Oryzias latipes: one gene and its partners. The main gene of each other region encodes a partner of the protein of the gene in region 3 in a complex. Links are inferred from orthologs where the notes say so. Each region holds a gene or a part of one and is shown on either strand. Other genes may lie near its edges. The genes, in order: ELL-associated factor 2, eaf1 and cdk9.

Region 1 (3,654 bases), on a different chromosome or scaffold from region 3:
TGCTGGGATTGATGAAGTTAGGATATTTAAAAATAAAATAACGTCGTCTGCAAACAAAGAAATGTTGTGTTCAGCGGGTCCTATTGTGATTCCAGTTATCTGTGTGTGTGCCCAAATCCCCGAATCCGTGACTTTGTCCTCCAGAGCTTTTTCTTTTGTTTCCAGTGCGCTCACCTTGGCCTGCAAAACGCTGATGTCATCTTCCGTTTTGGAAATGTGCACCTCCGTTTGCGTCACTCGTTCAGCGCAATCACTCAGTTCCCTTTTTATGTCTTCGACTGCCATTAACAGTTTGTCAAACCTTGCAGAAAAGTCTGCCTTCATGGAAGTTCCAACGGACAATATTGTATCCACCTTGCTGCTTTCCTCCTCACATCTCCGCCATTTGAGCATTGGTAGCGTTAGAATTTAGAATGTTTCGCAAGAAACAGCAGAGACCACGACTTCACAAATGAAGGTTGTCTTAATGATTCCTCGGCATGTAATGGGTTGTGATAGCATTAAACGACTGGGGTACTTACTTAGAGTGTTCATAATTCCCCCTCCGCTTTCCTGATGGTGGCTGGGTTTGTTGGAGCTGGTGGTGATGATGGGCATGCTCTGGTTAGGAGGTGCTGAGGGCGGTGCACGAGCCTGTTCGCCCTCCGAGTCGCTGCTGCTGGAGCTTTCCTCGCTGCTGGAGGATGACGAGCTGTTGGAGTCCGAGGAGCTGCCGCCGCTGCTCAGCTGGTCCATGACCCGCGCCTCTGCCATTAATTCTGCACAGTGAGTAGCAAGGACAGAAATCCATGCAGATGTTATTATATACTTAGCAGACAAAAAATGGTGATTTTAATCATCAGAACAACTTAGTCCAAGCAGAAAAAATGTCTGGAAAACATATTTGACAACTTGTTACCTCTCTCAATGTCATCCATGGGAGACGCCGGAGAGGTCTTTTCTTTGACAGGAGAGCTCTTCGAGCTGGTAGAGGTCTTACTACTGCTGCTGGTGGTGGTGGTGCTCTTCACCTGTTGGCTAAGGCGACTGGTCTGCTGCTCCAGGCGAGAGTGAATTTTGCTGCTGCCCTCAGCCCTGGAGATCCATGCACATGAGACGGAGAAGGAAGGATTGAGTTGTTGTTGACAAGTTTACAACCCACACTTTATATTTTTAAGCTGCAAATGTCTAAACAAGTCAACATGGAAACTTCATCAATCCAGTTCAGTTTATTTTAGGGATGAGAGTAGAAGCTCCACGAAGCTTTCACAGGGCTCATGTAATTGTGCTGGAAAAATGAAACAACCATTCAGGGCTTTGAAACCACACTGAACAGCGGCATCTAGTGGCGGATTGAACGTATATCATCTGCTTCAACTAAGCTCCTTGTAACGCTTCAATGTGGAAATTATAATTTAAAAAAACAAAACATAAAACAACACAATGTGTGAGGATTTCTGTGAGAAGTGCTTTCTTGACTCTGCAAAACAAACATCAGGTTCAGAATTTCATGGGGCTCATTTCGGTACATTTATGGTATTTTTTCGGTAAAAAAAGGCAGAAAAAAATTACTTACAAAATGCATTTATTGGTTTTATATAACAATAAATAAAATCGACCTATGTAGGTGATCTGCTATATAAAATAATACAACTCAGGAAACCACAAACTTTGGATACATTTTAACTTGCACATTTTTTCTTCTTGTAGACCTGATTGTTACAGTTCGGTGATGCCGTTTTAAGTTTGTTAACGGATTAGATGTGTTACTGTGGCATACGCTATCTTTGTGTAACAATGTTGACACACAGCATTCGACATATCCAACTGTCTTTTCCCTTCATGGATGCTGACAACAAAGCCAAGTGTTCCCACTCAGGAGAGCGTAAGGAGATGGGGGGGTCCTCAAGCTCTGGCCTCGCGCCTGCATTAGCCATATGTTGACATGCTAACTGTCACCTCAGTCACCTAATCGCCGTTGAACCTTTCCTGCGATAAGGTTTCTGACCGTGGTCGGAAAATGCAGGGGAGGTCCTCTCCGGGGATGATGGCGGATCGTCCTTCAGGGTTCACTTCCCCGTTCGGACCCTCAGAGCCTCCAGGGCGGGTCAATAAATGAACCAGTCTTCGTTCTTTTGGAGGAAACCTTTTTTATTACTGTTCCGCAGAACTGAGCAACACACCCTGAACGCGAGCTCACACACTCTCTTACGCTGATCCCCTCCTTCCTGACCACGCGAGCGCAGACACACCGGCACACTCATTCCACAACATGGCGTCTTGGCGGAAACTCGCGGTTAACATTAGTTCCGCCTCAGCGCAAAGTGAAAACATTTGGGGAGGGGGGGGTAAAAAACAAAAACAACCCCCCCTCCAAAACGGTACAAAAGTGAACCGAACCAAAATTGCCGTACTGAAACGGTTCGGTACAACTACGTGTACCGTTAAACCCCTTGTTAATAGTGTATTGCCTTATTAGGAGAAACTAAGTTGAAATGATCCCAAGCCACAGAACGTTTTTTACCAGGAGCCATGGCAAAGTGCCATGAACTGACGTTGACTCCGATACAGGGGAAACAACAGAACTGGTTGGGAAACGTTGCTTGGGATTTATTTGTTTTTATAGAGAATAGCAACTGTTCAAACGCAAGTGAAAGGTGAAACAAGCGCCGACGCGTCCGGGTCAAACGGGCAATCTCTAGTATATTTACACAGCACCGCTGAGGGCAACACATACCAGCAACCAACAACCAACTTAACAAATGTTGAAAAACTTTATTTTCAACAGGGCTTTGGGAAATTTGGTGTACGAGGATGTAAAAAAAAAGACATGACTTCATTAAAAACGTAACTTAGTTTGTTTTTCACCTGGTCTTCTTCACAGCTATGTTGCTGTTGAGTTTCTCCAGTCTATACTCTCCTGTATCGTGGTTCACAATGAGGATGCACTCCTTCATGTATGGCCTCTTGGATCCCTTGAAGACTGTTACTGGAGCACTTGACCCCTAAAAAGAGAAATTTCGGCAAGAAGAGTGTGTTTAGACTGGTGACCTATCCAGGACGTACCCTGGCTTTGTCATTAAAAAAGTTGGGATAGGCTCCAGCAACACACAAAACCCTGCCCGGGACAAAGCAGCTACTGAAAGTGGATGTATGTAGGGCTGAGCGGTGTGACGGTACCTTCATTCTAGATGATAGCAAATAGCGATCGTTTTATATGAAGCTTATTATTTACGACGTTTGGCCCTTTATGCTGTTATTTGACATCAAAATGAGCCTAATGCAGCAAACAACCATTAAGGAATATGGCAGTAGATTTGTTTTAGACCAGAATGACTCCAATCAAGTTACCACTCAGCCCAAATTGAAGACCTTGAAGCTAAAAAAGTGCCAATTTTTGTTACAAAGATGTGTTTTGGATAGACCGACATGGACCAGACAGTGGTTTAAAGTATGGTGGCTACTGTTAGGCCCTTAAAAAAAAAAAAAGCACCAATACAGCCACCTCCAGATGCCGTGCATCTTCACCGTCAAGTAGATGATGCCTAGAATCCAAGATTTTTTAGACTACGGCTACATCCAGGTTATTCACAAACAAATACTGAGAATTTGGTGACTGTGTCACAATCGCTGACAATAATAGTACTGAAAAAAAAACAAGGATAGATGTACTAG
Region 2 (4,303 bases), on a different chromosome or scaffold from region 3:
GAATCTTAAATCAAAGCCTAGTCCTGAAGTACTCACGAAGTGTGTTCATGAGCTGGTTGTTGCCCTGCTGGCGCTCCATCCCTCCGTTGGCCATGGGGTTGCGGCTGGGGGAGTTCTGGCTGAGCGGCCGGGGAGCATCGCCCTCGCCGTCGCTGCTGCTGCTGTCGTCGCCGCTCCCCGAGGAGCTGGCTGAGTCTGAGGAGCTGCTGCTGCCGCTGCTGCTCATCTGTTCAATCATCTCCACCTCTGCCCGCAGCTCTGTCGACAGCAGCAAGATCAGCATTTCATATTTCAAGGTCTTGTCTTTTTTTGTACTCACATTTGTCCAAATGTTTTTCATTCTTTGTCATCTTTAGCAGGGTTTTTTCTGAGAAATCATGACTTTGTAAAACACCAACAGTGCAGGAACCTCCTCACCTCTCTTAATGTCGTCCAGCTGAGGCTCTGGAGAGGGGTTGTCCTTAGATGGGGATGGGGATGTTTTGATCCCAGTTCCCGGCTTGGTTGGGGCTCGGAACTGAGAGCCGGGCTGGCTGGAACGAACCGACTGCTGCTCAATCCGAGCCTGGATCTTACTGCTGCCCTCCGCTCTGTTCGCACAGATACATACATCAGCCAACTTTTCCTCATCTTGAGCAATTTAAAGATCTTATAGACAATACACATCTACTACCCAAAGTCAGCAGGACTCTGGAAACCAGGACACTGACATCCCACCTTGTTTTCTTAACCTGGATGCTGCTGCTGAGCTTCTCCAGTACAAATTCGCCCGTGTCATGATTAATGATGAGCACGCAATCCTTTTGATACGGTCGCTTGTTTCCTTTAAATACTGTCATTGGAGGTGTGGAGCCCTGAAAGACAAAGAACAGGTAGTTGCAGTTTTATGTATTTAAAGCTTGGAAAAGGGCCCTTTTAGAAGGTTACATCAAAATCAAAAAAACTACATCATCTTGTTCAAGAGCAGTGTTATAGTGAAGATAAACAGACTTTTTCAGTCACAATTCTAGGATACATTCAGAACATAATTTTTTTAGACACATGATTGCTTAGATTTTTTGACTGCACTGTGACTGATCAAAACAGCTGTCAGACCTTTTTGTGACAGAAAACATGAGTCAGCAGAGATCAGGCAGATCATGATGTGCATGCATCTCTGACCAGATTGTTAAAAAGAGGAAAGCCTTACTGGAATATGAGGTAACGTTATTGTAACTTCATCTCCTTTTCCGACCTGTAGCTTCCCTTCACAGCTGGTGTCAATCGATGCTGGTTTGAAGTCATCTGGAAATGAAATGTATCGAGTCAAATTTGTGTTCTCCCTGATTGCCTATTTTTTTATTTAGAGGGAAACACCGTGAACTGGCATTCACACATATATGGAATTATAATTACAGTTGGAGAATAACTACCTGGAAGGGAAAAACAACCAAAATACAAAAAAGCAATTACAGTAATTTCATACTAGCATAAGATGAAAAAAATAATGTGGGTTGTTTTCCCTGGCTGCATTTGTAATTCTATCAACTATAATAAATGAGATAAAATGCTAATTTAATACAGATAATTTTTTGTTCTGTACAAAACAAATTGAATATGTTTTATAACACTATAAATCAATTGCATTCAAAGTTTGAATTTAACATGACCACTTTCTCCGGAGAATGCCCCAAGGTGACTTTTACTGAGATCTAAAAGTGAACTAATGAGTAAATGGAATACTGTGACGCGGGGAGGTCAGTGTTTAAAATAGGACATCACATGCATCATAAAACCCTTTTACTACAACAGCTCTGTAACACGGATGGTTTCTCTCCCAAGTCCAGCCAAAGTCTATTTTGACACACAAGTTCAAAATACAACACAGGCTTTGACTCAAAGCAATTGAATCGTTTCTTTTTTTTGCATTTCTATTTTAATTTTTGTTTACATTTTTCAAACTGTCTTCACATAACTGGTCATGGAAACAATATGATTGAACCTGAGTGAATAACAGTATGAATTTTTTTAATAAAAGTAAACAGAAAAGCTTTTTAGTGTAAATAAAATGCAATTCCAAGCCTAGGCGTCACAATAAAAGTGTTTTGGTATCAATAATAAATCCTATATTGTGAAACATCTACTTCAAACATCTACTTCAATAAAGCAACACGAATCCTCTGAGAAAAACTGGATATCTCTAAATACCACACTGAACAAGAAACACGATGAAGACTATAAACCGTTGTCCCTGCATCCAGTTGTTTTATTCAGCATTTATGCCCCAACAATCCAGATTGTGTTTATTACAACAGATAGGATCTGCATTTTATTTTGAAGGAGAATTTCAATTGCCACTCCATGTGGAGCTGGAGGCTAAAAAATGAGTCCTGGTTGGAGGCAAATATAAAAAACTTGTTTCTCACAAAAAATTAGATAAACTTTGGTGTAGTAAAATAAGTATTGGGTAGTTAATAGCATAAAGTGTAAAAGCTCAACCAAAAAAACAAACTGCTTTTATCTTCAAATGACTGAAAAGTATTGAAGAGAGTCTTGGAGAGAGAGCCTCTACATTTACAGCAGATAACCAGCCGCACTCCAGAGTTTGTTAAGAACTTAAAGGTCTTGTAAACACAACGCGGTCTCACGCTCACATCGGATGGTGTGAAAGGAAGATTTTGGCCTCTTCTCAAAGCTTTCTCCGAGCTTCAAAACATGCTCCTCTTTGTCCAGCAGCGGGTTTGTACTACCGTTCATGGTTCAGTTTGTCTAAAAGTCTAACATTTACGTATATTGGTAATAAGAAGTGAGCTAACAGTCGCAACTGGGAAGAAACAGGATAATCCAACTGGAAGATAAAACTAGCTGCAGAAGCTAACAGTTAGCAAAACATCCCTGACGTCACTGTGCTCTCTTTTGATTTTGGTTCGACTATGAACTACCTCTAAGATCAGACGGCGGCAAAAACTGTGATAAAACTTGGTTGTCTTATTAAATGATAATTTGCATTTAGATTAGTTTTTTATCAAACAGAATTATTTTAGTACATTTTAGTTTCATAAACAATTTATATAAAAAGCCAGATGGCAACGCGGAATGCAATTACGTGCACTCATCGGAAGGATTTCGTGAACGTACACAACAGAGGAAATGAAAAGAATTGTTTGAAATTGAAGTAGGGTTTTTTATTGTAGATTTAGCTTATTCAACCTTTTATTTTATATTGTTTTATTGAAAACGTAATAAACTGCATAAATGTTCAGGAATAACAACTGAAAATGTCGTAAATTAATGACTTTGTACAAAGAAAGACGGAAAAAAATCTCCAAAAACTTTAAAGCAGCGTGGAAATATGATGAACCGAGCCGAAGATACCGAGTCTACGGACGACACACCAACATGCCTGTCCGGACAAACGAAAACATCTTCCTCCAGAGATTTAACCCAGGAGGAGCAGGGTAGATTCAAAACTGAGCGAGTTCTTGTATCTGAGTTCAAACAAATAAAACTGGAGAAAGAAGCTCGAAAAAACTGGGACTTGTTTTACAAAAGAAACGCCACAAATTTCTTCAAAGACAGACACTGGACAACCAGGGAATTTGAAGAACTCAAAGAGTGTCGTGAGGTAAGATTACTTTTATACATGGACTTACCAGTCTTCATCTGTTTCTATTTCTTGTTTTATACTCACAAAATAAATAATCTTCTATTTAACATGTAGAACATTCTATCTATCAAATAGGGATTTCTTTCTTCTTCTTCAGATTATTTATAAATGTTAAATTATCTAGTAATTACGCCATTTTTTAAAACCCTAAATCATATATTAATTAATAAATTAAAATATATTAATATGAATAATATATTCACATTAATTACTTAAATGTAATATTAAAATATTAAACTATACTCTATTTATGCTTCTTTAAAGTTTAAGATGCTGAAAAATATTGTAGGTCAGATGGCCAAACAAGCTTATTAAACTAATGTCCAGTTATTCTTGTGCTTTGCTTCACAGTTTGAGTCCCAGAAGTTGGTTTTGTTGGAAGCTGGCTGCGGCGTGGGAAACTGCCTCTTTCCTTTGCTGGAGGACGACCTCAACATATTTGTTTACGCCTGTGACTTCTCCCCACGAGCTGTTGAGTTTGTAAAAGTGAGGCATTTCCCACAACAACTTTGTTCTTATTATAATGTCTTTATAAGCCTTGTCCTATATTTTCTTCCCTTTTTTCCTCCTTTATATTGCTTCATTTTAGAAAGTTTTTTTATTTGAACTTATGTAAAACTGAGTACCAAAGTATTTTCTTTATTTTGTAAATATCAC
Region 3 (2,732 bases):
GCCGCAGCAGATCTCTGACCGACCTCACTCAGGAAGCCTTTTCCTGCAGCCGGTGGGTCTGCTGAGCAGCCCTTAGACTGAACAGCCTCTGCTCTGTCCGTCCTCTCAGGTTTGTGGCTTTGCTCTTCCGTGCACACGTCCATCCATGATGGAATAAAGACGTCGCGTTCTGATGCCGTCACGCTAAACGGTCTCATCAGAATCCAGCCGGGAATACACAGACCTACAACGGTCCTGTACTGCGGTCTGGCTCAGTCAACCGTTTTCCGGGTCGTTGGACCCAATTACCTTCAGGGGTTTCCATGTTTACGTGCTTCCACATGTAAACAAACACGTTAGTTTTCCTTCTGGCTCAATTGTAGAACATGCCACAAACCATGAATCCAGGTAGCTCCTCCCCCTCCTAAACATCCCAAAGGAACAATGACGGCGTTTAAGTCAAAAGCTCAGAGGGTTTAGTGTCTGCGGCTCTCATCGTCACTTCCTCTCTAACCGACTCACACAAGTAAAAACCACTTTCCTGCTTTGCATTCAGACGTTTCCATAAATGTTCACGATTGTGTTGCTTTATTACAAAGAACATTTGAATGAAAACAATCAGTTCAACTGAAAAAGCTACCAGATTCTGGATAAAGGAGCATTTCTGTCCGTTTCATTCCTGATCCCATAAAACCTGAACGTTTGATCATAACTGGCCTCACAGCAGAGTCTCCGGTCAAACTCGGTCCAAGACGTCCAGTGGGGCTAAAAGACTCGGTCGAACTCCGTCTGACTGGTCGTGGCCGGGTTTCGGTTCTGGTTGGGCTGCTGTTGGGGGATGTGCCCCCTCCGTCTGGGCGGGGCCAGGTACTCAAACATGGACGTGTTGTGAGTGGACAGCATGTTCTTGAGGTCTGAGGGCATGGGGTCGGACCAGAAGAAGTCGTGGTTCAGGGCGTCGTCGCTGTCTATGCGCTGAGCCGGGTCCAGAACCAGCAGCTTGTCGATGAGATCCAGGGCGTAGGCGTCCTTCACGTAGGCTTTGAGGCGGTCCTTGACCTTCCTCTTCTGGCCTTTGGGAAGCTCCATTTTCTGGTACAGTTCATACTTTTTGTCCACGCCGGGCCACACCTGGAGAAACAGAAATGATTGACAGCGAGCTGCTGCAACGCAGAGCCCCGCCCCCAAAGACCACTCGCCTCTGCAGTGATGGAGCCACACAGCTGGCTGATCAGGGTGAGCTGGTGCTGCTCCGTGTTGCCTTGCATGATGGGACTTCTGGTCCACATCTCCGCCATGATGCAGCCCGCCCCCCACAGATCGATGGGGGGGCCGTAGTCGCGCTCCCCTGCAGGGAAGGAGAACAGGAACGCGATTGGTTTCCTGTTGAAGCCGTCTGCTTCTCGACTCGTCAGCCTCTAAAGACCCGTTTCCCTGACGACCACGACGTTTTCAGCCATGTAACCTGAAACCCGCGTCGTTTTCCGGAACCGTTTCTGCAGGAGTCGGGGCCGCAAAAAGGGGCCATGCAGCATCTGGGTCGCATAGGAGCCCCAAACCAGAGCTGTGAAAAGTATTTACAGTCCGCATTTTTTAATTTTACAGCTGTGCACATATATTTACATGATCAGTGACAGACACTCCTCATGTCTGGAAGACGACATTTCTATTAGGTCTGGTTCTTCTTGTAACAAGTTCAAATGTAGAAACCGATCTACGTCTGAAGTACTGAAGCAGAAAGTGTCCGTTAAAACCTTTTGGTTCTCTTGTTTCTTCACTCCCAGCTCAGTCAATCCTCCATTCTGGCCCCAAACCCTGAATCCAGTCACGTCACTTTTTAAAAAAAATCATTTCACAAATGAACGACTGGAGTCGCGTCGTCACCACGCATAATATTACTACTAAACACTCTCCATAGTACTGCTTCACAGTGATACAGCACAAGATGGTTACCGGTCCATAAACGCACAGGAAGCTTTAGGCTCCAACATGTGTCACGGATAACCGGATGAATAACCGGACCTCTTGGTGTCGTTGACCCGGATCTGTTTTCTAGACTGCAACGCTGGATTTCTACCAGACATCCTGAAACACTGAGCCGTGTCCAAACACGGCTTTTATTTCTGATCCCCGATCCACACGGATCCCTGCCATGGTCCGGCACACGCGTGTACAGTGGCGTTCAGCGGTACCGCCGTGACCCAGTTTGAAGGCTTGTTGTCCTGGCGCCGTGGCGGGACAAAGACGCTGCTGTCTGTCCCAGTGCGACGGGCTGGTAGCAGCAGGGAAGGTGGTAAAGCCGGACATCGTTGCTCCGTTTTTAAATATTCTTTTGTCGTTTCCCAGATGAACCAGAAGACTTCCTGGATCTGGGTGGTTTTTTACAATGGGAATATCGTGAGTTCAAAGGTCGGTAATGTTTAATAAATAGACCTCGATGAACAAATGCTTGGATGTGATGTGTGTACAAGTACTTAAATATATACTATGAAGGCTTTTTTCTTGTCGTTTGGTCCCATCTTTCTTTTTTTGCTGATCTGCTGCAGATTTACTTTCCAACAACATAAATGTGAAATCACCAAGACAACAGCAGGAATGTTCCGTTTTTGCACAAAGCCCTGAAAGACGACATTCTAATGTTTAAATTCCACGTTTCCAGCGTTCCTCAGCGGTTTGCGGCGTTTACCTAACAGCAGCTCTGGAGGTCTGTACCACAGCGTGACCACGCGGTTGGTGTAGCGGTTCCCCTGGCT

The links.
Region 1: cdk9 (region 3) and ELL-associated factor 2 share a complex: the UniProt entries of both Homo sapiens proteins name them as parts of the super elongation complex. The link is inferred for Oryzias latipes from reciprocal best matches to the Homo sapiens genes CDK9 and EAF2.
Region 2: cdk9 (region 3) and eaf1 share a complex: the UniProt entries of both Homo sapiens proteins name them as parts of the super elongation complex. The link is inferred for Oryzias latipes from reciprocal best matches to the Homo sapiens genes CDK9 and EAF1.

Annotation. Positions count from the first base shown.
Region 1 is NC_019879.2:4,940,117-4,943,770, forward strand, and holds part of ELL-associated factor 2, read right to left. Parts: intron 2,985-3,654; coding exon 2,848-2,984; intron 1,075-2,847; coding exon 899-1,074; intron 759-898; coding exon 522-758; intron 1-521. UniProt on the Homo sapiens protein: Acts as a transcriptional transactivator of TCEA1 elongation activity. Acts as a transcriptional transactivator of ELL and ELL2 elongation activities. Potent inducer of apoptosis in prostatic and non-prostatic cell lines.
Region 2 is NC_019874.2:26,172,643-26,176,945, forward strand, and holds the start of eaf1 (ELL-associated factor 1), read right to left. Parts: upstream 2,883-4,303; 5' UTR 2,737-2,882; coding exon 2,634-2,736; intron 1,285-2,633; coding exon 1,190-1,284; intron 855-1,189; coding exon 718-854; intron 591-717; coding exon 418-590; intron 259-417; coding exon 37-258; intron 1-36. Other genes in the region: mettl6 (methyltransferase-like protein 6), read left to right, coding at 3,332-3,604, 3,998-4,132. UniProt on the Homo sapiens protein: Acts as a transcriptional transactivator of ELL and ELL2 elongation activities.
Region 3 is NC_019870.2:30,294,928-30,297,659, forward strand, and holds the end of cdk9 (cyclin-dependent kinase 9), read right to left. Parts: coding exon 2,666-2,732; intron 1,328-2,665; coding exon 1,179-1,327; intron 1,111-1,178; coding exon 745-1,110; 3' UTR 539-744; downstream 1-538. UniProt on the Homo sapiens protein: Protein kinase involved in the regulation of transcription.